Linked DNA regions of Astyanax mexicanus. The protein of the gene in region 2 interacts with the protein of the main gene of each other region in a pairwise test. Links are inferred from orthologs where the notes say so. Each region holds a gene or a part of one and is shown on either strand. Other genes may lie near its edges.

Evidence for each region.
Region 1: the proteins of lamtor5 (region 2) and git1 interact in a two-hybrid assay, tested with the Homo sapiens proteins (2 studies listed by BioGRID and IntAct). The link is inferred for Astyanax mexicanus from reciprocal best matches to the Homo sapiens genes LAMTOR5 and GIT1.
Region 3: the proteins of lamtor5 (region 2) and tcap interact in binary tests that used the Homo sapiens proteins (3 or more experiments, as listed by UniProt). The link is inferred for Astyanax mexicanus from reciprocal best matches to the Homo sapiens genes LAMTOR5 and TCAP.

Annotation. Positions count from the first base shown.
Region 1 is NC_064425.1:19,367,321-19,378,407, reverse strand, and holds the start of git1 (ARF GTPase-activating protein GIT1), read right to left. Parts: upstream 7,297-11,087; 5' UTR 6,813-7,296; coding exon 6,761-6,812; intron 2,862-6,760; coding exon 2,728-2,861; intron 1,656-2,727; coding exon 1,543-1,655; intron 553-1,542; coding exon 447-552; intron 236-446; coding exon 149-235; intron 1-148. UniProt on the Homo sapiens protein: GTPase-activating protein for ADP ribosylation factor family members, including ARF1.
Region 2 is NC_064419.1:41,212,607-41,223,693, reverse strand, and holds lamtor5 (ragulator complex protein LAMTOR5), read right to left. Parts: upstream 6,140-11,087; 5' UTR 6,016-6,139; coding exon 5,981-6,015; intron 4,635-5,980; coding exon 4,573-4,634; intron 4,370-4,572; coding exon 4,252-4,369; intron 2,669-4,251; coding exon 2,608-2,668; 3' UTR 2,350-2,607; downstream 1-2,349. UniProt on the Homo sapiens protein: As part of the Ragulator complex it is involved in amino acid sensing and activation of mTORC1, a signaling complex promoting cell growth in response to growth factors, energy levels, and amino acids.
Region 3 is NC_064426.1:36,178,713-36,188,812, forward strand, and holds tcap (telethonin), read right to left. Parts: upstream 4,426-10,100; 5' UTR 4,227-4,425; coding exon 4,078-4,226; intron 2,768-4,077; coding exon 2,377-2,767; 3' UTR 1,626-2,376; downstream 1-1,625. UniProt on the Homo sapiens protein: Muscle assembly regulating factor. Mediates the antiparallel assembly of titin (TTN) molecules at the sarcomeric Z-disk.

The DNA.
Region 1 (11,087 bases), on a different chromosome or scaffold from region 2:
TTAGCGTGCTGGCTAAGCGTTTATTGATCTCATTATTAATGCCCATGCCTAAACAATCAGGAAGGTTTTTTTTCAACTCACATGCCACTGCTGATTGGTACAGCATGTAAAAGTTCACACCGCAGTGGTAGAGAGATGGGAGACTTACGGGGTGAAAGAAGTTGGCCTGAGCACCGAGAGACAACAGACGCAGACATGTCTCCAGACTCCCAGTTCGCACACTCGAATGCAGTTGCTGCGAGAGAAAGAGAGAGTCTATGAGTCTCATTAGAATTGCTCAATAATGCTAAGGCAGCCTCCATTATTCACAAGTAGGGCATCATTAAGGGCGTTAAGAGCCCTCCTGCAGGGCCCGCATGTTCAATTCCTCAGTGGGAAGCAGAGAGCAGAAGGAAAAAAGGATCTGCCTCTGCTCACACTAAGCTGACCTTTCTGAGCTTCCTCACCTTGCTGAGGTCCTTGGTGGTGACCCCATCATCATCACGGCAGGGCAGCTTGTGAACGAAGGCAAGCATCTGATACTTTGCACGAATAAACTCAGACTTGGTGGGGCTGTAAAAAGAGGCCAAAAATGTAACTAAACCCATAAAAATCCAGCAATAGCTGATTGCACTCTCAACAAACAAGTGAAATACATAAAATTATTCATCTGAAACTGAAATTGATAATGTCTATGCTAACATCATGTTGACAATTCCTTGATGTCAGTCCATATAGGATAGACTGCTCTTGCTTATATTTCTGACATAAACTGTAAACTACCAAAAGCTTTAATATGGGTTTCATAGAGGTATGGGAGTCAAATTCATATCTTGGATATTTCTACAGCCTGCTGCTGGAATGAGTCTACAGCGTGGCTAGGAAGTTACTCTGCCCCACTGCAAGGGTTTCTCTAAACAAGGACTTGGACGTTTCCAAGGCCTGATCCTGTAGCAGCTTTACATCATCATTTGGATGCTTTCTAACAGCTCTTGTGTGGATGTTTCAAAGGGTGGCTGTTGGAGTTAATTCACATTGAGGACAGGACATTTTCTAGGCTGGATATGTCTCTATGTAACAGGTGGAATCCCTTTACAGCAAGCTGAGGGACTGATTGTACTTTGTGGCTCCGAGACTCTCAGGCTGAACAGGACATTTTAGCAATGCTCATAAGGACTTTATCTGGGCCAGCAAAGTGACTTTACTTATTGTTCTGGTGTTCTGGGGAGTTGTTGGGGAACTCTGTGAGACTGCTGGGGCTGTTTTTGTTGCATCTCAGAGATTAAGAATTTTCTAAATAAAACTTAAATGTAGAATTGAACTTAATATTTTAGAACTCCAATAATTAAACTTAACCTTAACATTCTGCTCTTCAAGAGTGTAATAATTAAGTTAACAAATAGCACTTTGCAATATTTAAAGTTACCAACCAGCATTTTGCTTGTGATGGGAGAGCTATATTGCTCTGTCCAATATGATGAAAATCCACCCAAGGCTGTACAGATTTTTTTTAACAGCATGTGTCACAATGAAAAGACATTAATCTCTACACATTATACTTACTGCACTTTATCTTGTGGATTAGGTTTCCTGCGACCACTCTGAACCTGCGCAGGGTCCAGTAGGGAGTGCTCCCAAATGGAGTTAGCACCATTACTGGCTAGAGTCTGGACCATCTGAAACACAAAGCAACATTAAAACCATGTATTGAGTCACGCCTACACAGAGAAAGACCCTGTTATTTCAATTATTATTATAATGTTATTATTTCAGTGTAGAATAAACACTGATTAACTAGAACATTATATTTCTTCACCCATTATCCATTGAGTAAATGGGAGCAGTTTGTACTTCTATAATTACAGACTGTAGTCCGTCTGTTTCTTTGCATATTTTATTATCATCCTTTTACCCTGTTTTTCTATGGACAGGATGCCACAGGACCATCACAGAGCATATGTTATTTGGGTGGTGGTGTGTTAGTGTGTGTTGTGCTGGCTGGGGCTGCACCGATTAGTCGATATAATCGATAATGTCCAATATCAGTATTTTACACGTTAAAAACAACATCTAGACATTGCCTTTCAAATCTCATGTCCAGCTTTTTTCATTGTGTTTAGAGATAGAGAACATGGCAGAAACAATCATTGACTAATAAAAAAAAAATCATCAGGTTAGTCGACTACCAAAATAATCATTAGTTGCAGCCCTAGTGCTAGCATTAGTAAAGACACAGAAGTGCTGCTGGAGTTAAAAAAAAAAACACTTCAGCATCACTACTGCACTGAGAATAGTCCACCTACAGTGACCTCCGGGCAGCGTCCTGCACTGATGAATGAGCGCAGCGACAGACGGTCTTCCGTCTCTTGACTTATCACCTACATGTTGGAGCAGCTAGCTGGGCGGACGGTGCGTGGATGGTATTTAAAAACTGCAGGAGCACTGCTGTGCCTGATTCACGCCAACCAAAACAACACACACACTAACAAACCATCACTGCGCCTGTATTACAGCAATGGTGAAAATGACCCAACACCCAAATAATACCTGCTCTGTGGGGGTCCGGTGGCATCCTGACCATTAAAGAATAGGGCAAAAAGAGGATTAAAGTATGCAGAGAAGGACTACAGCCTGTAATTGCAGAACTACAATGTGTCCAGTACGAACAGTGGAGCTAGATATAGATAAAAATGAATAATAGGTGTAGAAATGAAGGTGATATATTTGATCAATGTATGTGCCAAGTACCTGTAGTAAAGAAGGGGGCCAGCCGCTGTGGCGCAGATGCTTGACGATGGAGATGTGGCGTCCCAAGCTTCGATGCACAGAACAGCACTCATCACAGATCAGCACGCCCCTGTTTATACTGCTCCATCCCGGATCTGCCAACACAGCATAAAACTCACTGAGAATCCCTTTAAAAAACACATCCATCAAAACGGTCCTCAAGAAGGCCTGGAGTGCCTGTCATGATTGAATTATAAAACGGACAGCGTATTTATTCTTTTTCCTGTTTCCAGCTACAAGCAAAGCGTTCACAGTTTTACAAATCCTTTTCTGAAATAGGTTTCACCACTGTAGCAAAAGGGTTTTATATTCCTATCAGGTTATCTGAGGCAACACACTGTTCCCAGATGAGCACATCCCCACAAATCTGGGTCTCTGAGGTGGCACATGAGGCAAAAGCTGCCAGGAGAGCAGTGCAGTCAGGGTGAAGGTTACTCTAACGTAAAAAGTAAAATGACCAAGTACAGAATGACAGAAACATGCTGCCGGCTTTTACTGGCCTCTAGAACTTCACTAAAATTATACCAACATAATACAAACCTTCACTCCTGGCAAATACCCTGTGTAAGGACAACAGTGAACTAAATATGCATAAATGCATAATTACTAGAACAGCAGAAAAACAAAAAAGGTAACAAAAAAAGAACAAAATACGTATGAGAAATCTAGAGTGTGACCATGTTTCTTTACAAGAAAAATAAATGCACCTCAACTATACCTACTAGGATAAGCAACTATACTAGTAATCCCACAAGAAAAAAAAATCAGTGTAAATTAGTTTGCATTGTTACCCTGTACATTGTGAAAAATGTGAGATTTCTTTGTTTCGTTTTTAAAGATACATCTAGCAACCACTTCTTATTTAAATACATTTTTTTAAGAAATTGCCCCAAACAACCAGAGTAATTTAAAAGAAAATAACATTTTTAAATGCAAAGTTAAAGGGATTAAAGAACACAAGCCAAAGAAGTGTGTGTGGCCTAATAATGAGACTTTTTTTTTTACAGTGAGCCTGAAGGCATTCTCAGGGAAAAGCCTAGCTGTCAGCAACTGGAGCTCTTTGTGATGATGGCAAAGATGAAACCAAAACTTCACTTGAATCAAAACTTTACTCTTCTGCTTCTACTCTTCTGCTTAGATTTTAGATTCAGATTTAAGTAGCAATTGCAGGGACAGTTAACTTGATTTATTACATAAGTTGTTATTTTTTTCTGACAACCCAATATTACATACTTAGGCTATGACTAATCCCTGTGCAAGTTCACATGAAAGCATGACAAACAGCTGATCTCATGAAACAGGGGATTCGTCAAGTGGCTGCTGACAGGAACAGTATTTATAGGCCCTGTTTAATGTAATTTATCACTCATCCAGGATGTAGTCAATCAGCCATGACATGTTAAGTATCTGATGTTTGTTTCTTTAATTTACAACAGAGGAGATGCTTCGCTAACATTACACATTACGGTCAAAATCTAATTTCCATAAACAGATTCCACAATTTCTATACATTGACTTACATGTTTCAGAGAACTATTCCTCTAACCCAAAGTTTGGGGCAGTGAGAGAGAAAATACAGGGTTAGGTCAAACTGAAACCTGCCTTATGAGAGACTACAATTCGATCTTTAGCCTTAATCTTGCTTAACATTATTTCATATACGTGCTCACACACTTCCGCATTGTTAAAGTGCAAATATTGCAACACAATATTGTGTTCTATAGCCACATAAACAATTTTCTTCCCACTTAACAAAACAAAACCAAACAAACAGTTACACTGCACAACACGTTGCTTTACATCCACCCTTTCACATTCACACTGCAGTACAACAATTATCAGCTCCTCACCAGCTGACGCACTCAGCCCCACTTTACACCACACCATTATATGCATTCCTCTGGCATGTCAAACGTGACTATTACACGCTCCTCAGCAGCAGCCAGGGAGCTGCAGTAATATGGGGCAGTAATGACAGAGCAGTAACAGAGTCAATCAAGTGCCCAAGACACCAGCTAAAACTCAGCACTGGTGCGGGAGAGTCAATGTTGTTGTCCTTAGTGCTGACAATGTATGCTGGTAACTGCATCATGCTAGAGGCAGACTGCAGGTAGAAGCTCAGGAGCTACAAATCAGTAGATGGGATGGTGCAGAGAGAAGGTGATCAGATGAGAGTGGGGACAGAAAGACAGAGGGACATTCCTGGAAAGAGAGCAGCTGTGGGGTATGACAGCAGCTGCCATTCTGCCCCCTCTTCCCTATGGGGCAGATGGGAGCTTCATAAGCAAGGCCAAGGCTCCACTGATCTTCAATAACCTGACTGTCATTAAGAGATGTTATATCAAAAGACAATGGGATGACAGCTTAATAAAATATGGTTTTACATAGTGAAAACAAAAGAGATATAGAAATATAAGAAATATAGAAACACTGCTTCCAATAGACAGGGTTGGAGAAATTAGTTATTTGCACTGGTATGTAGTGTGAACAGCTTGTAATTTTGTAAAGTGAAGACATATAGTAAAAACTCATTTGCGAATGTGTTTAAAGACATTTCTCTTGTTTTTATTCCATTGTGATTTAAGTGTGTATTTTTTTACTTAAATAAGAAAGAATTTTAATTGGCATTAGAGTCAGACTGATAAATAATATTCTACTAAAAGATTGGTAAACCAGATGTGCCATTATGGTCTTTTCACCTAAAAATGAGCTGATTTTGCAAAAGTCTTGTTCCAAAAAAAAATGATAACAGGATACTGAAGCCATAACAAGCCATGGTACATTCAATTTCAGCAATTAATATACTGTTTATCAATTGTTATAGTATACATGCCATTATAAGTGAATGTGGCAGACAATAAACTACCGAAACGTGACATTTTTCTCAAGTTTACTTAAGAATTAATTTAAGTTACGGTAGCTAACCTAGTTAATGGTAGCTAACCTATAGTAAAGTTTTGTGCTAAGGTTAGCTATCCAGCTAACTGTCTATGATGTGACAGAATAAGCAAATGTTTCTTAAATTATATGACGTTTTCAACAACAAATTATATCATGCATAATTAACTTTAGAATCATATTTAATGGATGTAACGACCAGGATGTAAACTCCGGTTAAAGACAGTGTCAATGACAGCTAGCTAGCGTTAGCGTTAACTGTCTAGTTTCAGTATTACTAACGCTACTAGCTACGATAGCTAATGCTAGCTAGCTAGGTTACGATGTAGATCGTCTACAGCAGCTAGCCTTAGCCAACTTACCTAGCTGAGCTAACTATTTATCTAGGTACTTAGTTATTTTTCGCCACCGTTATTGTGCAGTTATAGGCCAGGCATTTCTGATAAATGTCCCGCTTTGACATTTATAATCTAACGCTATATAACTAATTGAGTCGGGATACGCAACAGAGGTATGCTAGCTAGCTAAAATTAGCCAACTAGCTAGCTTGTTAACCTTAGCATTCTGAATAGTTACGCTTTTGACTGGATTAGCAGGTTAGCTAGAAGACTACGCAATGTGTGTTCATAACGAGTAGCTTACATGTTATATAGACTATATAGTAGCTAATTTATTAGACAGGTGAAAGGATAAATAATGTTAATGCTAATGTTACGTGGCTAGCGCGGATGCTAACAACAAGCAGAGCCCGATATATAAAACTCGCCATTACATTAGCCTGTAGCTAACCCCGTTTAACCAGTCAGCCGGCTAACTAACAGCTACAGAGTTTTCTGAAATAGTTAAACACAACTGCAGCCGCCTTATATACGGTCTAATGTTGGTGAATATGATGGACTCTTCATGTTAATATATGTTAAGGCCCTGGTCACTTTCTGGCCGAGGTTTGCAGGCCGTTTCTCCGTTTGTTTGTTGGCCCAGCAGCCGTGCTCTGTGTCTCTCCGCTCAGCGCCAGCTCGCTTCAGCCCACTAGACACAATGTTAACTAGCGCTAGCTAGATCCCAACAACGCCTTGATCCATGCATTTCAACCTACCTGGCGCACTGCAGTCGGCACACACCTCGCTCCTTTGGACTTTTCTGGACATGATAAACGCCAAATATACGGCGAGGCTTTACGAGATAATTTAAATATTCCAATCCAGTATCGGGGATGTTCGACGCTCCAGTTTAGCGACGACTGCAGCCTTGATGCCGCCCCTGAATGTCCGGAAGCCGGCGAAGAGCTTTCCAGGGCTCCCGGTCCTCACCCTTCTTCTCGCTCACGTCTTTTTTTCCTCCGTGTCCTCCCTCTGCTCCCACAGCAAGGAGTTTACGCTTCGTTAAAACCACACAAACACTCCCTTTTCCCGTTTGAATGAGAGTTAAATCACTCTCATAGGCTGTATAGAATATAATTTGGGGATTTTCCTCTATCCCACATTTATGTAGGTATTAGCCTGTTCTATCCAAGCCCCATATCCAGAGGCAAGCGGAGGGAAAAGACACGGAAACAACGTTTTATTTACATCCTGCACCCCACACACATTTGTAGGCTGTGGCAGGCTGCATACCGTCTCCCTCTGACGTCCTACTCTCTCGCCCCTAGTGTCAGCACATGGTGGGGTAGCAAGGAGGCAGCACACACATACTGTACAGATACGGTGGGCTTCAGGCTACTGTTTATGGGTTTAAACATGACTAATATAAAGCCTATAGCCCATAGGTTACTAGAAAAATCAGAAAATCAAGAGAATATTCCCTTTTTAATTTTTCCTAAAATTCTAGATGGAAAATTGGATGACAATCCATTATTCTTCACTGTACTGAATGACAAAAAATGAAATAGTTTTGAAAGTTTTACATTCTAATTCTATCTTTTCAATGTAAAATAAATTTTACCTTGAAATTGTCAAAATCCCCCAGTGAGCAAGACGACAGTGACAAGTAAAAACTCCCTTAAAGCTGGAGGAAGAAACCTTAGAAGAAAAAAAATAAGGGGGCCCATCCTCCTTTAGTCAATATGGACTGTATTTAGAGATAATCAGGTCAAGACTGAGATCATCTGGGGTTGTAAACAAATGTGTAGGATGGGACCACCCGCAATGCAGAGCGAAATGGTAATGAGGTGGTAATGACTGTGATAGGTTGCGATTGGCTAGAACTCACATCTACATGAAATGAACCAGTCTACATGAATGATTTTGGCATGTCATTGTATATAACTTATAGCTATCTAGATTGAACATCTAACTGGTCTTTGTTTTACATAGGAGTTAAATAAAAATAATGTAATATATCAATTTAAAGAACTTATAATAACTAATGTAATGATCTTAGAATAGTTTATAAGGGTCTAAAATCAATAAGGGGTAATAATAAAAAAGCCATCCATGTAAATGTCAGTGCAAACAGCTTTCTATCTCTCCTGCTTAGTATACAGAAAATCAATTAAAAGATCCCCTTCTTCAAAATCTAACACTGCCTGATAGCTGATAGCTTACTTGTATATCTGCTTATATGTGTTTAAGGCATTAGATGAAAACCTGGAATAATCCAATTTGTACATGATATAGGATGAGGCTGCAGAATCTCTACAATAATAGAAGAATATTGAATAATATTTCTTAAAATACTCTTTATATCACTTGAGCTATCAATGAATTCAATGCTCTAACAATAAAAAAACATTATCTGTGAAGGCCACAGGACTGTAAAATAAGCTTCTGCCTCTCTTCAACATTCTGTCGTGACTAGTCAGGCATTTATATGTTCTGAAAAAGTGTTTTTAAAAGGATTGCTAAAAGTATGGAGTGGATTTTTCTCCCCTAAAACAACAACCTTACACCTACTCTTTTTTTTTGTTACAAAATCGCCTACTCCACATTTATCTTCAGGGTTAACGTTACACATATATTCCATTTGTATTTCATGATGTTCTTTGGTTATGGGGGCTATAAACAGCTGTCTACATTTGCCTACTGCAAAGACCACCACCTGATTCAGAGTGGTTTAATACAAAATGCTTAATTCTGAAGAAATGAAGTCACAAACAATAGTGGTAATAGGAACCTAAACAATAGTCAGCTGAAACACTGAAATGGTCTTAATTTGCACTCAAAGAAGGTTTTTGCCATAAACTGATTGTTTCAGTGTAAAAAATAGTCCTCAAAAACTATTATTAGATAATAGTCCTCAAAAACTCACTATAAAAGACAACAAGAGAATAGTGGGCCATTGTTGGACATCCACATTCAATTCAATTCAATTCAATAAAGGCTTACCAATGTTACTGAACATGCAAACAATTGTAAAATATCCAATATTAGTGTTCTTTTTGTACATTAATTGTACTAGTATCTACAAACATCCTATGTTATTTAGCATAAAAGATATGAAAAATAAAAATCCATTTAAAAAACCTATCTAGCAGTGAGCTGTTGATACCATGGGAATTTCTGCACATTTTGTTGCCTCAGTTACAGAAATCTTTATCTCAATGGTCCATTCTGAGATGGCATGGACAGCAAGGCATCAAGTCAACTAGTTCCAGTTTTAGACACAGCCTCCTTAAATGTGAAGATGAAGTTGAGTGATGCATTAATCTGGTAGGGAATTTCACCTGAAAAGAAAAAAAAAGTGCTTCAAATAGTGACTTTATGTGAAACAATAAAATTGACCATAAGGTCTACAAAATGTTAAATGAGTGAAAAAATTAGGTCAATGAGGATTTGTATCTGTTTGTTGGTCTCAGAAATACATTTTCTTCATCACTGAGCACCTAAAAAAGGAGATGGAGTTTAATTTGAAATGCTGTGTTATCCATTTTATCCATCCAATTCTACAAAGGTCTGGGTCATTCTCGGTCAGGTATTGCTCAAATTAAGTGTTGCCTGGTCAAGTGTCTGATCAATCATCCACTGGAAAAGGTTCAGGGGAATAGCTGCTGCAATTAAGACAAGCAAGGAGGTCAGCTGCAGACACCAATGTTTAGAGGAACATCTAGAAACAGAGCTGGATTTTGAGGATGACTGACTCAACCTCAGGTCACATATTCTACACTTTACTGTGACAGAGCTGGTGACACCCATATCAGCACATTAAACCCCTCTCTTCATTAAGGGTTTAGATGAGCAGCCCAAAGGCTTAGGTGGGATCAAAAAATCCACCTCACCACTTTTCAACAGACCATTTCTTTGTTTTAATCTACTCTCCTGGCAGTCTAGTAGTTTTAGGCTATCCCTAGTTACTGGGAATCACTTATGCACTGGGGAATTGACTCAGCATCTTTCTTTTCATGTCATTCTGCAATCTTCAAGAGCCAGTAAGGATTTTTTTCATATTAAGGATGCTTTGTCTGATTTTCTTGACAGCATCACAACTCCCTTCACATAGCACATGGGTCTGTATTGATTTTCCTTTAACCGCCTTCCCTTCCAAAGGTATTCTGTATTATGTTTAGGTCATGGAGAGTGACATTAAAAAGCTAATGAACCTATGCTGTTATTTGTCCATCCAGGTTTCATATTATAAAAAAATGGACCCCTGAGAATATGTATTTATCACAGTGTTGTGAATGCTATTTAAAAGTGAAGTATTGGCAGTTGTTTCAATTAAGTCTGCAAATTGAAAGTGAATTTTGAAAGTTGGAAGTTGAAGTTGAAATCTGTCGTTTGGACTGTAATTTTGTGTATTCTGTCTCTGTCTCCTTTTTACTGCTTTTGATTTTTTGCTAAAGTGAGCAGGTGGTTTATTAAAAAAGACACAGTTTATACACACAGTACATTCAGGTAGTTCTCCGGGCACTGCTATCTTGAAATAAAGTCACAATAAATTGACTGAAAAGCATAGCTGGATAGGTAAGATAGTGTTTTTTTTTTTTGCATGAGCAACGTTATGCCACTATCGCTAGCTATTTTGAGCCTGTTGGAGCATTGGCTAAAAGTGCTTTATTTTAGAGTGCTGGGGGTGAAAGGAGATGGGCTATTTGGCAAAAGTTTGTACTCATTATCATGTTTCACTTCACCCCAAGTCAATTTGAGAACTTATTAAATAAAGGTTGTTTTAAGCCCTGTCCGGACAGGATTAGTTTTTTAGGTGGATGTCTATGAAAAATATTTCACACTTCTACTCAAAACTTCTGGGACCACCACAGGAGGACGAGTGAGTTTTTTGGCTTTCTCGTTCACATGACATCGCGTTAAGTAGCTCCTGCGTTTCCACTTGCTGTTGTGTTAACATGGTTCTCTGTGAAACCGTGCGCACAAAGTGTAATTACAGTGAGTAGAAGTGGATAAATAGCTATTTTATTAAATGCGAGGTGACGAAACTCAGAGATGTGCATCCGGACAGGACTAAAATTACCAGAGGATCACGTTGATCAG
Region 2 (11,087 bases):
CGCCACCTTTGGACATGGTTAACATAAGGCTTCTGACCTCAATCAAATAAAAAATAAAAAAATACATATAAAATACATTAGCCTGTAATCTTGATTATTTCATTGTCTTAATTGAAAATTAGATAAAAAAATCCCATACAAACTTTAACCACGGAAATCAGTGCACCAATCAATACCCTAATTTTCACCACCCAAAGCTTATAATGAGTGTGTGTCCTTGATTGAAGATTTGTGCAATGGAAAAGTCACCTTCCTTCACGGTCAATTAATTTTTACCACCACAGAGGTCAGTTTAAACCTCTCGATTCCAGTTAAAGGTTATACAAATCTCTCGCTCCAATGGACTTCCTGTGCATTCATCAGAAACGGAGTGAATACAGTTCGAATGAATCTAAACAAATGAAACCATTACCACCCTGTTTACTGGAATATAATCAAGAGGAAGATGGATGATCACAAGCCATTAAACCAAGCTGAACTGCTTGAATTTTTGCACCAGGAGTGACATAAGGTTATCCAAAAGCAGTGTGTAAGACTGGTGGAGGAGAACATGCCAAGATGCATGAAAACTGTGATTAAAAATCTGGGTTATTCCACCAAATATTGATTTCTGAATTCTTAAATCTTTATGAATATGAACTTGTTTTCTTTGTATTATTTGAGTTCTGAAAACTCTTTTTGTTATTTTAGCCATTTCTCAAATACATGCTCTAAATTACAATATTTTTATTTGGAATTTGAGAGAAATGTTGACCGTAGTTTATAGATGAAAATAACAATGTTCAATTTACTCAAACATATATCTATAAAAAGCAAAATCAGAGAAACTGATTCAGAAACTGTTCTTTATTTTTTCCAGGGCTGTGGTATGATAAAATCTATAACATAATTATTGTAATAAGCCTATTAAGAACTAACAACCAAATTTCTGAAATATGAATCCAGTAAACAGTGTAAACTGTACTGTAACCCTGGGCCTCTCTGTACATTCCTGAATAACCGTATTGGGGCACTTTGTTCAGGCATGTCATTTCCAGCGCATTGCTGGGATAGTTAAAATGACTTACCCATCCCAGCAGTGACTGCTGCCACCATGTGAGAAAACAGTGCTACTCCAACTATAGCCAACTTTTTATATTTGGCACTGCTTTTATATACAGAACTAATAATAATTTATTGTTACATGACTATTCATATCAATTCAGAAGTGGTCAGATCGGATTTGCCTGTCTGGACGTCACAAAGCTATCTGTGTGGGTTGCTGTAGTAATTATGGAAGTGTTAGTCGCCATGCTGATGGTATGGCTTTTATACGTTGAAGCAAAAGAAGAAGACTGAGGAGCATCATCTCACCCTTCAAACAGACACCCAGTAAAATCACGATCACTCTGGATTTAATGAGGTCATATTTGGTAGCATTGCAATTGGCACAAAAGATACCATGAAATCCAGACTGACTGAGAGTGAATTTCAAACCACCTCTAAATTGTGATTTGGATCAGATTTGCCAAATCTGAATCAGTATCAAAATTCAATCTTTAAACAATCTATTTCCAAATCATCTCTACAGATTTGAATAAATGCCATCTCTGCTGTTACTTTGTATTTAAGTGTACAGAAATATGCACTAATCCAGAAAACAGGACCTTCTTACTGTATTTACCTTCTAGCCCCAATCAGGTCTGACCAAAAAAAAAGAGAGAATATTCTCACATGGTTTGCTGTGATTCATTTTGATAGGCTCAAATTTTTCCCAGTGTGAAAACAAACCAAACAATCCAAGTTTACAAACTCGTTAATTAATTCACACCAGAGCAAACCTGCTGTACACTTTTTAAAATGAGTACTGTAAGATTTTGTGGGGAAACACTGCACAAATTCTGCATTTTATTTGGAAATCAAGGGATCAGAGTCTGGAGGAAGAGTGGAGAGACACACAGTCCAAACTGCTTGAGGTCTAGTGTGAAGCTTCAACCAATCAGTGATGGTTTGGAGAGACATGCCATCTGCTGGTGTTGATCCACTGTGTTTTATTATCAAGTCTAAAGTCAGTGCAGTTTTGTTTTCCCACAAAATCTTACAGCACTTCATGCTTTCCCACTGCTGACAACTTTTATGGAGATGCGGATTTCATTTTCCAGCAGGAGTTGGCACACTGCCCACACTGCCAAAAGTCTTATATAATATTCTAATTTTCTGAGACACTGATTTTTGGGTTTTTCCACTGGCTCTAAGCCATACTCATTAACAATGTGCAAAACTATTCACTGAGTAGGCAGATATATCTAAATACACTGTTTTCATGACAACACAAAAGAAGAAGTTAAATATATTGTGCTAAACTACACGTTTTTTTTATATAATTTATTTAATGGCAAAAAAAATATTAAATAGGAATAACAGTTCATCATTATCAGAAACATTCAAAACAGGGACATAATATGAGCATACAAAATGAGTACTTATAGTTTTCTTAATTTCTCTGAAACCCATTAAATGTTAAAAGCATTGCAAAACCTGTATCACATAGCAGCTAAGAGTTATCGGAAGGACAGACAGAGATCATGAGTTACTGTTCAGTGGGAGCAACTCAAACACTACAAGACTTCAGGACACGATCTTGTGCACAGCGACAGTGATGGTTCCGTGTGTTCTCACCAGGACATTCCTGCAACAATAAAAGGGTACGACTTTAAAACTAAGTAAACAACAAGTACTGAAACAAGATACATGTTTTTAAATACAATGTTGTCTATAGAGCAACCAGACAGTGAACAGAAGCTTTAAATGGCCCCATTCTTACTTATGTCTTGAATTTTACTTTGAACTGCCACGTCATGGGACAGGAACTAGTGTAGCGTCTCATGAAAGCTAAAGAACTTTGCCCTGATCTATAGGATTTTGTTTGTGTGGCGGGTCTTCTGTATTGCATGTAGATGTGATTTCTGCCAGAGTCACTTACTCGTCTGTTCACACAGACAACTCTAGCCAGATGCCGCAGGTCATGATCATTACCACCAGCGGCCATCCATCTGCACCCACTATCAGACCTCACTCCAACTCCTGCCTGCATTGGTTTGGTGCATGTCGTTTTTTTTAATTTATTGTTTGACTTGTTCGACAGAGCTTAATCCCCACTGGGTTGATACCCCCCTCACACACCTGTGACGCTGTTTCTATTTATTCTAAAAATATAAACATACAATAAAAAATCTCTCTGTAACCAAATAATGCACACTATTAATGATAGTGATAATCTTCTCTCTAAATTCTTTGTAAAACTGTTTCTTTGTTTTAAAAACTGCAAACAAGAAGCTTGGTTTATCAGAATTACAGTTATTAATATTTTTTTTGTTGTTATAAAAGGGGAAAATGCAGACCTAAATTAATATATATTTATATTAATAAATACTACCATTTAAATATTAGATAGGCCAGGTAGATTTAAAAAATAAATATTTAATTTCCTCTTATATATATATATATATATATATATATATATATATATATATATAAGCTGTTATTCCAGCTGATATTCATGCAGTTTAATGTTATAATATTAGAGGAAGTTGTACTTTTATTCTTTCTAAGAGCCACATCACAAGATCTGCTGTAGTTCTGCTGCAGGTGGAGACTCTTCGACTTGACTTCCTCCACCTCCAAACCCTAGTTGTCTAGTGTCTCTCTAGTGTCTTGCTATGAGCACACTGAATAGTGTACACCCTAACTTACTAGATAACACCTCACAGCTTAAACAAGCCCTCCCCTGATGAATTTCTTTTAAACCAATTTACATATTGCTGTCCCATTAGTTTTAGCAGTTCAGTGTAATTTTCTATTGCTCCTAAAATCTTGTTATGAAATTAGTGGAAATTTATGCACACAGTAATGGTGTACTGAATCAGGTAGGGAGTTAAGAGGACTTAAAATATTAACAGTGTTTATGCACTGAACAAACTGTTTTATTGAATTGTTTATGTCGTTCATAACGTTCAATAAAACATGCAAAGGTTTTGGCATCTGCAGGAACATCCACAAGCTTTAGTGTGTCTCTATTCTGGTACTCTATGGTAGATCTGAGGAATGTTTTGGATTACTATCCTGTTACAAACGTCATCCAGTCATTTCAGTTCATAACAGGCTTTTAACAGACTGTTTGTTATCAGCATGCTATCTGTTGGTGTACCTAAAGAACTGGCATAGTCATGTTAAAGTAATACACTGTATAAGTGAGAATATGAGTTCTCTTACCCAGAGTCAGACTCGAGGCACACGGTGGGAGAGTCTGTAGGGTCTTTAGTAAGAGAGGCAGCCTGTTTCGCCAGGACAGATACAACCCCACCGTGCTCATCAGACAGGGTGCCGCGGCCTGCAGAAACACCACACAACTAGTCAAAAACATACTGTTTTTCTTTTTATTTTATTTATTTATTTTAACACAAAACTGTCAAAATAATTGCAAAACACTGAAACAGATATCAAGTTGGCTTTTTTGACAATCCAGGACTAAGCTGATTAATAATATTTCTACTGTATTTATTTGTATTATACTAAATGATAACCAATACTTACATCCGAGATTATGACCCTGGGCATCTGTACACAAAACCCCAACGATTGAAGGACTTTTCATTCTGACGAAATAAATAAACAGATAACAGACATTCATAACAGGCATTTATAACAGTGGGAAAATGTACTAAACAACAAGAATCAAATAACAACACCAATCAGCCATAACCCCATCAACTCCATTATGCATGGTACCGATAGGATCATGTTTATCTGTTCCAAAGATTCAATTCTTCTCTACAGAGATTAAACAAGGAGTGTGCTTTTTTTAAATAAGATTTTAGTATACTATATATACAACCTATATATGTGTGGAGCTTGCCTGCTTTTGCAGTCTGTAATTTAGCATGGTAAGTTATTTGATTGATAATTGTTTCTGAATTATACAGTATTCCTACTGAGAAAAACATGAGAGCCAAGAAATGAACTACAGTGCTTACTACCTTACGTAAGGTACCACTTTGGGACGATTTGAGTACCACAGTTTAAGAACAGCTGGTGTATGTAAACTTCTACAAATTGGCTACTTGTTTTTTTTTAAGGAAAGGGGGAAAAAAATTACATTTTGAAAAATATACACGTATATCACAGTACTGAAGAAGCACAATCAAACAACGTGTACTTGTACTCAAATTATTCTGAAATTATAGATAAAGTAGATAGAGTTAAGCATACGCAGAAAAATATATTATTTAATTACTTTACACATATACCAAGCATCCCATGATATGGGATTATTATTTGATTTATTTTTAAAAAGAGTGACAACAAGCACTAGCTAGATAAATAATTTGCTGACTGTATAGAAGGCATATGTCATATCAGTATGCCTAACCTTAGGGGTTAAATGATAAAAAATTAGAGGTTAAATGATCAAATTAGGGGTTAAATTATAAAAAAAGGGTTAAAGATACACTCCCAGACCATAAACACACCCAGTCAGACTCAGGTAAGGCTAGTCGCAGTAAAGAATGTAGGGATTCCATTAGGAATTAAATTGTAAAATTAGGGATTAAGGGTAAAATTATGGGTTAAATTATAAAATTAGGGGTTAAACGATAAAATTAGGTGTTAAATGATACAATTATGGGTTAAATGATAAAAATTATGGGTTAAATGATAAAATTAGGGGTTAAATGGTAAAATTAGGGGTTCAATGATAAAAATAGGGGTTTAATGGTAAAATTAGGGCTTAAATGGTAAAATTAGGGGTTCAATGATAAAAATAGGGGTTTAATGGTAAAATTAGGGGTTAAATGGGTTATAAGATACGCTCCCAGACCATTAACACAAGAAGTCAGAGTTGGGTAAGGCCAGTTAAGCTAAGTTAGTTAAGGGTAACTGTATAAACAGCGCGGGTCCGCTCAGCGCTGTATAAAAGCCGCTGCTGAATAATAATGGAGCTCACGTGTCGTCCAGGTGCTGCTCCAGCGTTGCCTCCATAACTATAATAATAAATATTGCAGATTGCAATATTAAAGAGAATCAGAGGGGAATTGAGCCGCTAACAGGCTAACTACTGTTGTACACTGTATACACCCTAATCAGCTGACCCTGTGTGCACGTGATCAGTCTGCTACGGAAAGCTGTGAGGATCAAACACGCGCACCGGAGCGCTGCGTGTAATGGAGTGGCGCCATCTAGCGCTACTTTAACAGCAGTGAATCTAAAACAAGCATAATATATAATTTTATAAAAAGATATACAATAAAAATAAGATAAGACCCTCAATCATTAAACAATAATAAAGTATATATGTACTTTATTATATATAATAATAAAGTAAATATGTTTAATTATTATTATTATTATTATTATTATTATTATTATTATTATTATTATTATTATTATTATTATTATTATTATTATTATTATTATAGCATTCTTATATTTTCCCATCAATGGAACATAATTCATGTCTGAATAGGTTAAGTTGTTAATGCTCAGCTGTATATTGAAAAGAAAAAAACGGTTGCCTTAAAATCGTTAAGTAATGGGGAATGAAAACTTAAGTTAGCATAACTTAGAACATCAAGTTATTACAACTAAAGGGGAAGTTGATTTAACTTTTTTATTTCTTTTATACTCTAAGACCAGATAAGTTGAGTTTACTTAACGTTTTTAAGGCAGCCGGTTTGCTCATTTTTTTTTAATAATGGGGAATGAAAACTTGAGTTAGCATAAATTTAAATATCAAGTCATTACAACTAAAGGAGAACTTGATTTATTTCTAAGGTAGCCCAGGGGGAATCACTACACACTGATGGTGAGTGTCAGTCAGAAACTGTTGGACACACCCAGTATGCAAATAGATTGTAACAGAAGCCAATGGAAAAGAAGCTGTTAATGGCGACAGACTAAACTCAGTTATTATAAGTTGGTTCATCTCAGTTTGAATGTTGTATATTTGTGCCTACAAATGTTCAACTAACTCAAAATAGTTGAGTATTGTTTAGAAATATCCAATTTTATGTAAAACAGACTTAAATCATTTGAGTTCAAACAACGTATGGGTTTACAGTGCAGAGATAAAGATAAAAATAAAGTTGATTGATTGATTGGCTAGTTGCCACCCTTCACTAATGTCATTTGATCTGACAAGATAATGACCTATCTCTGTTATTTTGCATCATCCCTTTGTGAGATTAATTTCTGGGTTCAGTATGTACAGCCTCAATATTACAGAATATTAACAGCTTCTCCAGAGCTCTGAAAACAAGCAGACCACCAGCATGTTCCCCTTTTCACCCTGCAAGCAGCTTTTGACTCTCAGCTCACATTTAGCCGCTATTGTTGGTGGGGTCTCCGGGGGCCGGGGGTGTTCAGTGTGAATGTGGATATCAGATGAACCCTCGTCTCTGACTAAAGCTCCAAGAAAAGAGCAATTCTTTCCTCCACTCACTCTTAAAAGGGTATGTGTTATCATCAAAAATCACTGCTGATTTGTCCCTCCTGTGACAATGACACGGCAAAACTTTGTCTTTTATGTTTGCTGACATTTTTTTTCTACCAAGAATTGATTCTAACAATGGAGACAGCTCAGCTCAGGCTGAAAAGACATGAATGGATTTCCTCTTTGTGAACCCTAAAGGAGTTTCTTATCAATCTCTTTCTTATTCTTTTATTCTGAAAAGACCCCCGCTGTGGATTTGAGCTTCCTGACTGCTTGTTCAGTAGATGTTCCAGGGGGTCATAATCTATATTATGGGCAGTATAGTTGTTTAAATTTCATATAAACTCTGTATAACAATACATTTTTCAAGATTTATGAATGAACACATTAGTACAAATACAGAGGAATGTTAATCTTGCCATATGTGTGTCTGCAGTGTCATCTGGATTTTTTTTAAGTGCTTAAATAACACAATATAACACAATTTGTTAATTACTTTTTATTAATTTCTAACTTTCTATAAATGTTGTGTCTATTAGACTATTTAAACATTCTGATAACACACAATAGTACATTCGTAAAGCATTATAAACATGGCTTTAAATATTTATATATTAAAAAATCATATACAGCCATGTTTATTATGCATTATACCACAGTTAGTTCCGACCCTACAATGTGATTGGCTGAGAGGCGTTCTATGAGTGCCGCTATCAGCCGGTAATGCACTGTAACCAAAGCTCTCCATGTATTAATATGCCACATACAGTACAGGTAACCTAGCAACAATGCAGCGCTTCTCGTCTTCTTTAATCTTTCAATAAACTGTGATAATGAAACTGTGGTATAATCGCAATTTTTTTCATATTAAAGTTATTTTATTACATGTTATATCACTCCCTCTCATGTATTATTGCTTAATTATGAACTGAGATCATAATGCATCATAACCTGTAATAAGCTTGTAGTATGTTATGCATCGGGGTTAAAATGTTACATTTCTCTTGCTATTAATACAGCATATTCAGTATATCCCCTTTTTGGACATTTTTCACTTTACTTAAAGTGTACAACGACACATTATAACACATTATAAAGTAATATAAGTTAATATGAGTGGTTAAAAGTGGTTAATTATAGCATGCTTTGTTAAAGGAGCTATGTTTCGGTTCTGGGTATTGACATATAACATCTTATAAGCACAGCTGATGATGCATCATAATCACAATTCATAATGCATAATAAACATGGCTGTAAAGTGTTATACATTTCTATAAATATTTATAGTCCACTTTATAATGCTTTATGAATGCATACTATTGTACTTTGAGTATATAGAGACTAATATGGTTAATTAAACTCAAAATGTCAAGTTATTTTATCCAAATTGTAAGTTACTGAAACAAAGGGGTCTATTTATACACATGGATGGGGACAGGAAACACCTTGGGGTGAGTAACAAGGGGGCGGAGCTACACATGAACAGATGAGCATAGAGAACAGACCAAAGGTGAAACAAAACAGAACAAGAATATATCAAAAGTCATTTTGTAAAAGTTATGGAGGACAAAAATGTAGTATTGTGATAAAAACTTCAGTATATTTAGTCCTGTTATACACTGAGCTCTGCTCGGCTAAAGTAGCCGGAGGGATTAACGCAAGGCCAGGTTTTATGTCGTCCGTTTCCGATCAATAAGAAATGCCGCTTCTCATTTCACAAGCTTCCTGTTTCCTCTCGTTACTTGCAGGCTAGTGAGCCAGGAGTCAATCGCATTTGAATCGAGTTTATTTATGAACTCAATATTTATGCAAATAGGAAATGTGAGTAGAGAATGTAACTACTCTCTCTATTTCCAGGCACCAAAATCAAATCAGTTCGAGCAGAGAATGCTGTTCTCTGAACATCTTCTGCAGAGCCCTGTCCCGATACATCCAACTCTTTATATTCTATTCATGATGAATATGTTTAATAAACATAATTATATGTCGTGTGTAATAAGGCTTTAATTCGCCATGAGTCACAATCAGACCAATCCCGTTATCCTCACTGAAGAGCTCTGCGTGTGAGACTGTGTTTTTTAAGCAGCCGTAGGCAGATCTGAGCTCCACACACACTGTGTGTGTAAAGTGTAGATGAAAAACATATGATCAGTTGCTAGGATTGCTAACTGCTAAAATATTAGCATCTACCAAAAACAGAATTTAAGAACACATGAAGACATGGTCAGTAGTGAACAACCTTTTGCATGATGTCATCAGCTCTTACACACAGACCACCAATACACCACTAACACAACCATAATGGCAACTATTCCATACATCCAGCACCTCTACCTGAATGTTACTATACACACACATACACACCAATTGGGCACAGATTCCATCTCTTTCTCTATCCCTTTTCTCTGTTTTCTCTCCCGCCTATATATATTGTACCTGTTCTGCTCTCTTGTTCTCCTGCCTTCTTTTGCTTGTTATTTTGCTTATATTACTATCTCTCTAATGTAATTGTTTATTAAAGCTAATAAAGCTTAATTTGTCCTCCAAAGAGGGGGGTGGGGGCGGACCTAAATAAATAAATAAATAAATAAATAGATAAATAAATAAATATTGCTATATGTTTATAGATAGTTGATTTGAACCTGTTTACTTTACTTAAACAATTTGAGGAAACTGGTTAGTTTTTATGTTCTTAATTAGATTCGAAATGTCAAGTTATTATGCCTAAATTGTAAGTTCATTTGATGTATGCTTTATTTCTTGTATTAATTGCTTTTCATGATCGGTTTTACAGCCTACAGCATTGAGAGCAGATAGTTGCTAATAATATATTGTATAATCTACAAGTTTACCTACGGAGGAGGCCATGGGGAAATGACTACACACTGAGGGTGAGATGTGGACCGCAAGCATGAAACATATGGCCCGTGAGGTTGTCTGAACTGTAATGAACGATAATGAAAAAAAAATAAATAAATAAAATGCTTCTCTGGCGAGCTTTTGTTTACATTCCTCCCCTGTCTCTCTCTCTGTCGTGCACGGCTTGACTTTAGTTTCCGCCTGTTTCCGCTCCCTATGTCCTTATCACATTTTTTTTCCTAGCTGTGTCCCAATTCACTAGCTGGGACAGCAGTAGTGTATTGGACCGTGACCGAGATGACTTGGGTTCAAACTCGCGTGAGGAGCGGTGTGTTTATTTATTTATTTATTGTGTTTACCTACTTTGAGATGAGCTGTTCTGCAATTGGGTTTAACAACCCTCTGGGCTGGAGAGCTACTAGTAGCACCCCATCCTATTAAACTTCATATTATCCCCCATATACTAACCCCAACATCCCCCCCCCCCTCCGCTTGTGGCCCGCCACATAATGGCTTGGAAAATATCTGTCCCGTGGCCAAACTTAATGGCCGACCCCAAAACAGAGGGATGAGGTTAGTGGTAGGGCCAAGGGGTGAATTGCGATTGGGCCTAAGAGAATCTAATGAGCCTGTAAAACTTTTGAGTACTGTAATAGAAAGTGTAACTGCTCATCTCGATCCTTTAGAGGGTGACTGAAGACCCAGTCAGAGCCTTCATCACAAGTTCACTCATACGACTAAAATAGTGGAACAAATTCCACTG
Region 3 (10,100 bases), on a different chromosome or scaffold from region 2:
TATGTATAATATGTATAAGTACTATTTAATCACTATTTAACAGTGGTGAACAGAAAAGCAGCTCAGAGTGCACAACACATGCAAACCTAAGTGTGAATAGTGTGTTTACACCTGCTCAAACAAACCGTTTCAATTGTAAAAATAAACCTCTGCCTTAACCAGACTAAAAGAAAGTGTAAAAATGCCCTAAAACACCCCAGACATAGTGTCTTATTAATACAGTATAAAATATCAATATGTTCTTTCTCAGAAGTTTCTCCGCCTATCTTCAACTGAGCTGTTTTCATGCCAAGAACCTGGAGTCTGCATTTCTGTTGCCAGGTACATTTTGTTTGATGTATCTCTAATAAAAGTGCCTTTGAACGTCTGCCATGTTGACCAGCTAGCTGGCATAAATGAATGGGAAAGATGCCAAAGGACAGTCAGTCCTGGTCTCCACTCTTCCCTCATTCCATTCCTGCCTTCATCTCTACTCCTCCCATCTTGTTTTCCATACTAAGCCTCTAATGTCACTGAGCTGGTGAGCCCCCAGTGCTTGAAAGTTGGACCAGTTGACCATTGTTCCAGAAGGTAATGTGGTATGCTATGATATATGATAATTCGGTTGGTACAGTGAGTGTTTGTACTATTTCAGGGCTAAAGCACCTGTTTCTCCCGGCAGAGATAATCCCTCCATAGAACAGCTGAGAAAATCTAAATGACCCCGTTTCTATTGTTTGTTAAACTCTTTAGTGACTCATATTTGTTGTTGTGCGTTGCCAAATCCTTGAATCATATAATTTTTTTTATCATTAGTGTGATGGCAGAAGGTTCTGCCATTGTTCTCCTTAAGTGTTCTTCTTCATCGTCTTATTTCAACCATTGTCTTTTTACACAGTTTTACACAGCCTGCAACTTGTCATATTGTCATATTGATGCCAAGTGGGCAAGTTTTAAGTTTTATGCTTTTGTAATTGCATATATTGATTAATCATACATTTCTTCCCAAGCTGAGATAGATCAAGCTGATAAAATATGTCCATTGCAACGTCAGCAACTTTAGAGGTGAGGAACAGCATTTTGGGATGCATAGCACTTCACTGTGCAGGAACTCTTCCAAACATGGAGCCAACCTTAAAGATTTTATCCATGCAGACCAGAAAGAGATGAACATTTACCACCATGCTGTCAGTACCCTCAATCTAAACTCCAGTCCTATCACAGTGTGGCTTTTTTAGGCAGATACTGAGGTAAAGGGGAGGTAGCGTGATAAGTTGAAGCAGTCATATTACAAAATTAACCAATCACGCAACCGCACACGTGGCACCAGGAGAGGATAGCTTTTGCACCATCAGCAGTATTTTTAAAAAATCCACTACTTGTGCAACACCACAACTTTAGAAAAACATCCCGCACACCTTAGAAACCACTTAGCAACACATTAGCAACCAACACCTACAACATAGTAACTAACAACAATACCATATCAACAATTAACCAACCAACCAACACCTGTATCACAGCAACAGCTGCTTCTGCTGGGACTGAACTGTCTAGTTTCATTTGAACCACTAAAAGTTTTTATTACGTTTTTTTTTTTGTATTATGCTGTATTAAAACACATTAATGAGGCTCGAAGCAATCATTTTTTTTTATGTCATTTATTTATTGAAACAATACATTGGACATCTTACAAACAAGAAAAAAGACCACTGTGATCTATGAGGAAAAAACAACTGCATGTGAAGCAACAGTTGACAAATAGTGCAATTTCATTCATTTATAAGTCGTAACAAAATAAAATATATTTACCTAAACATTGTAAACATGCTTATTGTTGCTTTTTTCATTGCATAAACTGCAGGACTGCTTACAAAATACACATAAACCTGACTGTCTCTGCTTCTGTCCCTCTGTTTTCTTCTGTATCTTTCCTTCTTGATTTCTGACTGATTTCCTCCAAGTAGGCATCAGTACCTCAAAGGATCTTGCCTGCCAACCTTCAAGTCCAGAACTTGCTCTGTCTGCTTCATTTCTTCTGTCTAGTTTTGTACGATTTGTGCCAATGGTTTCCAGCCGAAAACATGCTCAACTCCTTCCTCTAAAGTTTAACTTGCTTTACTTTAATTATACAGGTCTATTTAATTAATCAGATACTATTTACAGCTCATATCTTCTTTACAAACCTCTTGCATCGTCATCAGCAACATCAGTCTCTGCAGTTTCTCAAGCAGGGCGAGGGCAGTAACAAAGAAGGCTTTAAAACGTCTATTGTGTACATTTTCTACCTATATCTGCAAGGTTAGCCCCCTTTTCTCAGTGCCCTTCCACAGTTCAACAAAGTCCAAACATTCTTCGACTCAGCTTCCCCTCCGTCCCCTCTTGCTCTCTTTCTCTTCACCCCCTCTGGGCCTCCTGAGACATGGACCTGCCCAGGGTTCTGGCCGATTTGGCGAACTCCATGTGGGTTGGTTTGACGGGTGGCAGGTCTCTGGTGATCTCCTGGATGTCCCTCTTGTTTGGGCACTCTCCGTTGGGTGTGCGGGCAGGGATGAAGTCCTCGGGGGTGTGTGGAGTGCCGCGACCCAGTCGGATGCCAAGGTCCACTGGTTTGAAGACTGGCAGGGGGAGGGTGTTTCTTTTGGGAAGCAGCTGGTGCTCCCGAACGCCAGACTCCAGAGTTCCCACTCTTCGCACTCCCGATGGACAGGACTGGGTGAGGGGGCGAGCTTGCCAGTAACGAGACATGGTCTCCCGTCGTGAATCGTCGGACATTGCCATGGATTGGCTAGAGAGAAGAGAGAAGAAGGCGCAGGAGAGAAGTGGTTAACCCCTTTAAAGGTCCAGGGTGGGTTGTTAACAAGCTGTTAAGGTTTATTGCAGATGCATAAGTATTAATTACTTGCTACTCTAATTTCCAGGCAGTATTTATGAGGGTAAGGGGCTAACATGTGGGCTGACATGCAAGTCCATTAAGGGGGTCTATTTTAGGCTTATAATTCAGTTACTAATCTTAACCACTTGCTGTTTAGAGAGAAGGAAATCTGGGTCCAATCCAGGGAAATCGTTTCATGTTTGGGTCAAATTTCCAACCCAAATCTTTTACACCCTATTTAGCCAATCAAAGACATCTGAAGGTATTTGCAAAGTGGATATGGTAAATTGTGCTCAGGTGGATCAATTTGGGTTGGAACCAAAGTCTGCAGGAAGGTTGAGGACTACTAGTTCACATTGTCATAGACTGGTATTGTGACCTTCTGGAGAGGTACATTCCTGCAAACTTTGGATGCAACTCAACATGATCCACCCAAGCCAGAAGAATCCCATTCTGCAGGGAGGTAGTTCTTCAGGAGAAGGGATGGAGTTCACTGCTTCATATCTTTTTAAGGTCTCAGTGACAGATTTGATGACCTGCTGGAGAGGTACATTCCTGCAAACTTTGGATCCAACCTTATAGCACGTTCTACCCTATCCAAGTAACTACTGTGTTCAGATGTCTTTGATTGGCTAGACGGATAAGGTAGGGTTGGATGCAAAGTTTTTAGGGACTTTAGCACACACCAAATTCAGCCAATTAAAGACATCTGAAGGCATAAGTTAGTTGGTAGGGTGGATTAGGATTGGATCCAAAATCCAAAACTATAATACATCATTTAATCAATTAAGGACTGAATCTAAAGGGAACAGTTGGATACAACGTTTATAGGAAGGAAGTTCTCCAAGAGCAGGATTGAAAACCACTGGTCTTTGTCTTTGTAGTCCTCAAAGAGAAGTCTCTTTAGCTTCTAAAGGACTACCTTCCAGCAGGTTTCAATTCCAGCCCAAATCAATCAGGTTTCTTTTAGCCAATAAAGGAAATTTGATGGCAGAGGTTGGTTGGATAGGGTGGTTTTGATCCACAGTTGGGTTGAAGGTAGTTCTTCAGGAGCAGGACTAAAGACCAAAAGACTTTTTGGGTCAAATATATCAGAAAGTCAGGAGTCTAGGATAACTTTAAGAAGAACCTGAGAAAGACATTCCTAAGTTATAAAATTAAGGAAAGACTGTTCCCACACAAATAAAATTAAATGTAAGTTAAGTGTAAGTATATGAACTTACCGATCCTCGTGCTGTGTTTTCATGTTGATGCTGTGCCAGTCAGCGGTGTAGCTCTCTCTCTTGGCAGCGTTCTCCTCCCTCACACTGCAGCTCAGCTCGGCTCCCACCACGCAGCCGCCACGCTTCTCCAGGACTGTGCAAACCTGCATCTTCAGCTTCTGTGTCTTGTCTTGTTACTTAAGGGTTAACTGTAATTGTAGAGGATCTACAATGATCGTCTCTTAAAGAGGATCTTCACTGGTTCTGTTCTTCTTCTGCTAAGAAGATAGATCTCAATTTGTTCTTCACCTGGTTCTTCAACTGCTTGCCCCCTGAGCAGTGTGTGTATGCTGTCTGACTGAGCGAGTGTGTGTATCTGCCTTTTATACCGTCTCTGATGCTATTTCCACACGATGCCCTCACTCCACAGCCTGTCTGCACCGACACCTGATATTCCCTCCCGTACTCGCATACACTCATGTTGGCCGCCGTGTGCTGGAACAGCGCAGGGGAGGTTTAGAAATCCCCCGATGCCTGGAAATGATCCCTACAACACACACACATGCACACACATGCGTTATTAGAACTTGGGGAATGTTCAATCCAGTGCTCTGTTATGCAGCTAGTCAGTCCATCAGTCCATAATGTTTCACTTTCAATACTTTAAACCACATTTACTCACATTACTGTAATTGAGTAGATTTTATAAATATAGGTAAAAATAGGTAATTTTACTTTTACTCAAGTACATTTTGACACAAGTAGTTTACTTCACTACATTGGAAAACTCCCTGTTATTAAGCAAAAAAATAAATGCTGGGGGACAAAAAAATAATTGTCTGAATAAAAAAAAAGTGAGTTTTGTTCTCCATGGTAGCGCAGCTGAACGTTTCCTTTTTAACTTTTAACAGTAAAGAAAAAAAAATGGATCATAGAAATCTATGCCACTTGTTCTTTAAAATGTTTGTTAGGGTGGTCTGAACAAATACTGCCTGAAAGGTCCAAATTATCTAATTTAATAATTATTTAATTTATGATTTGTTTGGTGTACTTTTTTACACCAAATAAATAAAAGTAACTATGTAACTTTTACTCAAAGTACATTTTACATTGAGTACTTTTTACTTTTACTCGAGTAGGTTTTTAGATGGGTACTTTTACTTTTACTTGAGTAGAATTTTAGCAAAGTAAAGGTACTTTTACTTAATTACAATTTTCCAGTACTTTTTCCACCTCTGCTTTAAACATTGAGGCAGGTAGAGTTGATTATTAAATGATAAAACAATGAATAAGCAATAGATAACCTGTATTTTTTTATAAGTTAACCACACTGTTCCTGTTCCTACACTCTTCAAATCAAAGGTAATTATACAAATAGCTGTATGATCAATGCCATAAAATAATTACTTTTGGAAATAGAGATGTATGCAAATGTGAAAAAACCTTTTAATTGGAATAGAACCTTGAACTTAATGATCTGACCTTAAACAGATATACTAAAAGGTTATTAATGCCAACATCTCTTTTACATTAATGATTATTTCTGGAACCACAAACGTCTCTTTCTGAATCCTTAATTACACCTGATTTTTTTACTTTTGAATTTCAAATTGATATCAAGTAACATCTCTCTTACATGCAAATGCAAACATATCGATGGAACAGGTCTCAAACAAATGCAAAAGTATTGACCATTTCCTGTCAAATCATCCCAGCACAGGAGTCACAGTAGTACAGCAGTATTTCTTAGATAACTGTAGTCTTGTTTGTCCCCCCTTCCCTCCCTTCTACTTCTCTCTATCTCTCTCTCTCTCAGCTGTAAGTAGATTTTTATCACTATTTATTCTTTATCTCTCACTGTACTGAACTTTTCTGAATTACAACTTTTAAAACCACGGTGTATTAGGTGTGTGTGGACACACTGAACATGCCAATGCTACCCTTTTAGTTTTTTCAAGTATTGACCAACGAAACAGGAAGCACCTGGGACTAAGGGGCGGAGCTACAAATGAACAGGTGAGCAAAAGAGGAGGAGACAGGATACAGTGTTGCCAACTAAGCGACTTTGTCGCTATATTTAGCGACCTTTCAGACCCTCTAGCAACTTTTTTTTTTGTAAAAAAGCGACTAGCGACAAATCTAGCGAGTTTTTGTGGTGTTATTGGAGATTTTTGGCGACTCTGAGATGAACACATGCTCTTCAGTCACTGTCCGCAGCGAGCAGCAGGGGGCTGCTGTGAGCCCCGCCCACAACACTCACAGTGCAGTCTCTCACAGACATAAAGACCCAAAAGGCGTTCCATAACAGTCAGGCCACACCCACACCGCTCCACGAACACACTGTAAATGAACCGTGCGTGCCCACATCCACCGCTGACTGACCACGCCCCATATTTACAAAGCAGGATGTAAATATAAATGTGTCTTCAGTGTGACACGAAAAGAAATCACTTAATTTAACTTCCGGGAGATTATATGTGACTCGCGGGCATCAGGGAGCCACTAGCGAAATGTGGGAGACTCCCGCAGCTTCAGGGAGACTTGGTTTGTCTGCTTTGCAGTCACTGACATCTTGAAGCTCCTTGTGATCGAAGCATTTACATCATCACAGTATCACAATAATGGTGAATGCACATTATGTTGTGGAGCTCAGACATGCAGACATGCACCCATACAGTAAACACCACTATTCTTACACTATATGCTCTTTCACCACTGTTGTCATCACTGTGGAAGAAACGCAACCTTCGCCATAATCCCCACTCTGCCCAGGCTCTTTAACAGCTCTAATGGCTGCACTGGAGCTTCAGAGACAGACTTCACTAATGTGGAAAGTCAGATAGGCTCAGAGATAGCCGGCGTGGAAACTATTTTAGACCTCGGTCTGTTGTGCTTTTGTCACTGAAGAGCAGATATGATTCTATTCGCCATTCTCAGAGCTCCTGCACTTTTGAACTAAGAGAAAAAAACAAAAAAACATGTGGAATCTTCACTCTGGAAAATACAGGACACATGAGAGAATTAAGGGGGCTTAACACGGTTCATCAGCTAATTTCCAGAGCAAATGCTTAAGCCTATAAAATTACCCTTGCTAATTTGGTCAGTTGCAGCATTTGCTAGGGCTTAAAAGAAGCTGATTTACAGCACAGGCACAAGAGCACAGAGCAGAGATTCTTTCTAAGTTCTTTCATGATATTTTAACAGATTATTGCTGAAAGTATTCCCTTACCCATCCAAATGGAACCTTATTAAATATAGGTTCCAATCCCTTCCATTGCCACATGTGTATAAAACCAAGCACCCAGGTATGCAGACCGCTTCTACAAACATTACACTGTAAACCCATACGTTGTTAGAACTCAAATGATTTAAGTCTGTTTTACATAAAATTGGATATTTCTAAACAATACTCAACTATTTTGAGTTAGATGAACATTTGTGAGCACATATAATCTTTATCTTTGACTTGAACCAATTTATAATAACTGAGTTTAGTCTGTTGCCATTAACAGCTACTTTTCCATTGGCTTCAGTCACAATCTATTTGCATACTGGGCGTGTCCAACAGTTTCTGACTAACACTCACCATCAGTGTGTAGTGATTCCCCCTGGACTACCTTAGAAATAAATCAACTTCCCTTTTAGTTGTAAAAAAACTTGATCTTTAATTTATGCTCACTTAAGTTTTTATTTCCTATACCTTAACAAATTTGAGCAAACTTAAAAAAGTAAACTCAACTTATCTGGTCTTACAGTATAACAAAGCTAAAAAAGTTAAGTCAACTTCCCCTTTAGTTGTAATAACTTGATGTTAAAAGGATGTTTGAAATGAAGTTGAAAAAAGAGAATAAAGTATTATTTAGTTATATATATATATATGATTGTTAAAGTACTATAAGTTAAATAATTATACTTCAATCTTTTTATTTTTTCCATCAATTCAAAGCTTAAAAACACTTAAAATCAACTTCTTCCCAGGTTGACATTTTTTACAGCGTACGTACAGTGGATATAAAGTAAAGCAGTCATAGTGTATCTATAGAGAGAGACTAAGCGTGGGCCTATGTGACACTAGTCACTAGTCTAGTCATGGTATGATTTACTGCACTGCTGATAGATGGATGATGGGGAGGGAGGAGGGCTTGTTTCTCAGCTTTCACACACACACACACACACACACACACGTACCGTACTGCAACCTTCACCCTGACACACAGGTCAAATACAGGAATTGATGTCACTACTGCTCATTCAGACGACTCAGCACTCCGTGTGGTATGGAGAAGGAATGCCAGGCATGAGTTACGCAAGCAGGATGTACCCTCAAGTCATTGAGTTGTACTTGTAGTACAACTGATGGTGTTCACTTACAGCCCACCATCACCATTTACAGGAAGTGCTGAACATCTTTACACCTACTTTGTTGATTGGATACTCATTAAACGTTTGTATTTAAAAAATAATAATAATTTAATAATTTTGTTTAATAAATTTGTGTTGTCTTGCGGGTCAAAAGTGACCCACTACCGTGTTTAGCTGTAGAAAAAAAAAAAACCTTAAACTATCTTTTTCCAACTTCAAATTTTATGACTTTTCCTAAAGGCACCCCATCATTAGAAAGAGTAAAAATGTTTATGTTTCCAAGTGGGCTGTACACCACTAGGGTACAATGGTTGTCTTATAGATCATTTTTGACCCATGAGTTATTAAAGCATTTTTAACACCAGAAAAAAGTATAAAGGTCAAACACTCGCTCTCTAATACACAGAGCATCAAACATCATAAGAATGACTCCAGGACCAGGACCAGGACTACATATAGCTTTTGATATTAGCAGGTGTATAAAAAAATCTCCTCCACCAGTCTTACACACTGCTTTTGGATAGCTTTATGCCTTTAATCCTGGTGCAAAAATTCAAGCAGTTCAGTTTGGTTTGATGGTTTATGATCATCCATCTTCCTCTTGATTATATTCCAGAGGTTTTCGATTTGGTAAAATGAAAGAAACTCATCATTTTTAAATGGTCTATATTGTATAGTCTCTGGGATGCAGAGAGTGGATGGGCAAATTTTAATGCCACAATGCCGCTGAAAATCGTTCACACGTTCTCAAGAATCCTAAGATTTTGACAACCGTGAGTCAAGACCAGCAAGGCGTGTGATGGACAAACTGACAGCCATCAGAGAGTTTTTTTTTTCTCTTTCAATATAATTAATTCAGAATTACATAATGACAATAATAAACTTTTACTGTGTAAAATAAAACTGTTATGACAGCTGGTTTGTGGTAAAAAAAAATGTAATACTGTCGTTTTATTTTGTGTAGCAAAAAATACATAATAAATAATTAATTAAATTGAATTGAATTGATAAATAACAGGTTGTTTAATCATGCAAAATAGATTTTGGATTTAAAATTAAATAAGGCTGCTTAATTTTGTGGCTTCAGTAGGGCCGGTCATTTTTGACCCGTAGGACAAAGGGAGTAAACATAATGTTAAGATCGTACAAGGGTCAAACACATAGACATTTTTTGTTGTGTTCTATGGAAGCTAAAGAACGTTGCACTGACCTTTAGGATATGTATTTGGGGCCTCCTGCACTGAATGTGGATGTGAATTATGCCAGTGTTGCTTGTCTGTTTGCACTGTTATACACTTGATACTGTGGATGGAGGAATGTTAAATTCCTGCACAACTTCAGAAATGGAATGTCTCATCCATCTGTCACCCACTGTTAGACCTCACTCAGACTCAGACTCTGATAATTAATGTTTTGTTGCCATGAGCATGCTGACCAGTGTTCAGTCTTACAAAATAACAGAACTTATATAGGTGAGGGCATTCTCAAGAAGGTGCAGGAGGAAAAAAATAAGCTCAAGTGGAGATGGGCCGTGCAAAATGACAATGACCCAAAACATTTCAGGAAAGACACCAATAAGTGGCTCAAAAGAAATAAAATAAGTTCTGGAATGGCCAAGTCAAAACCAGGAACCCAAGCCTGTTATGTGTGTCTGGTGCCACCATGCAATTATTTTTCATACA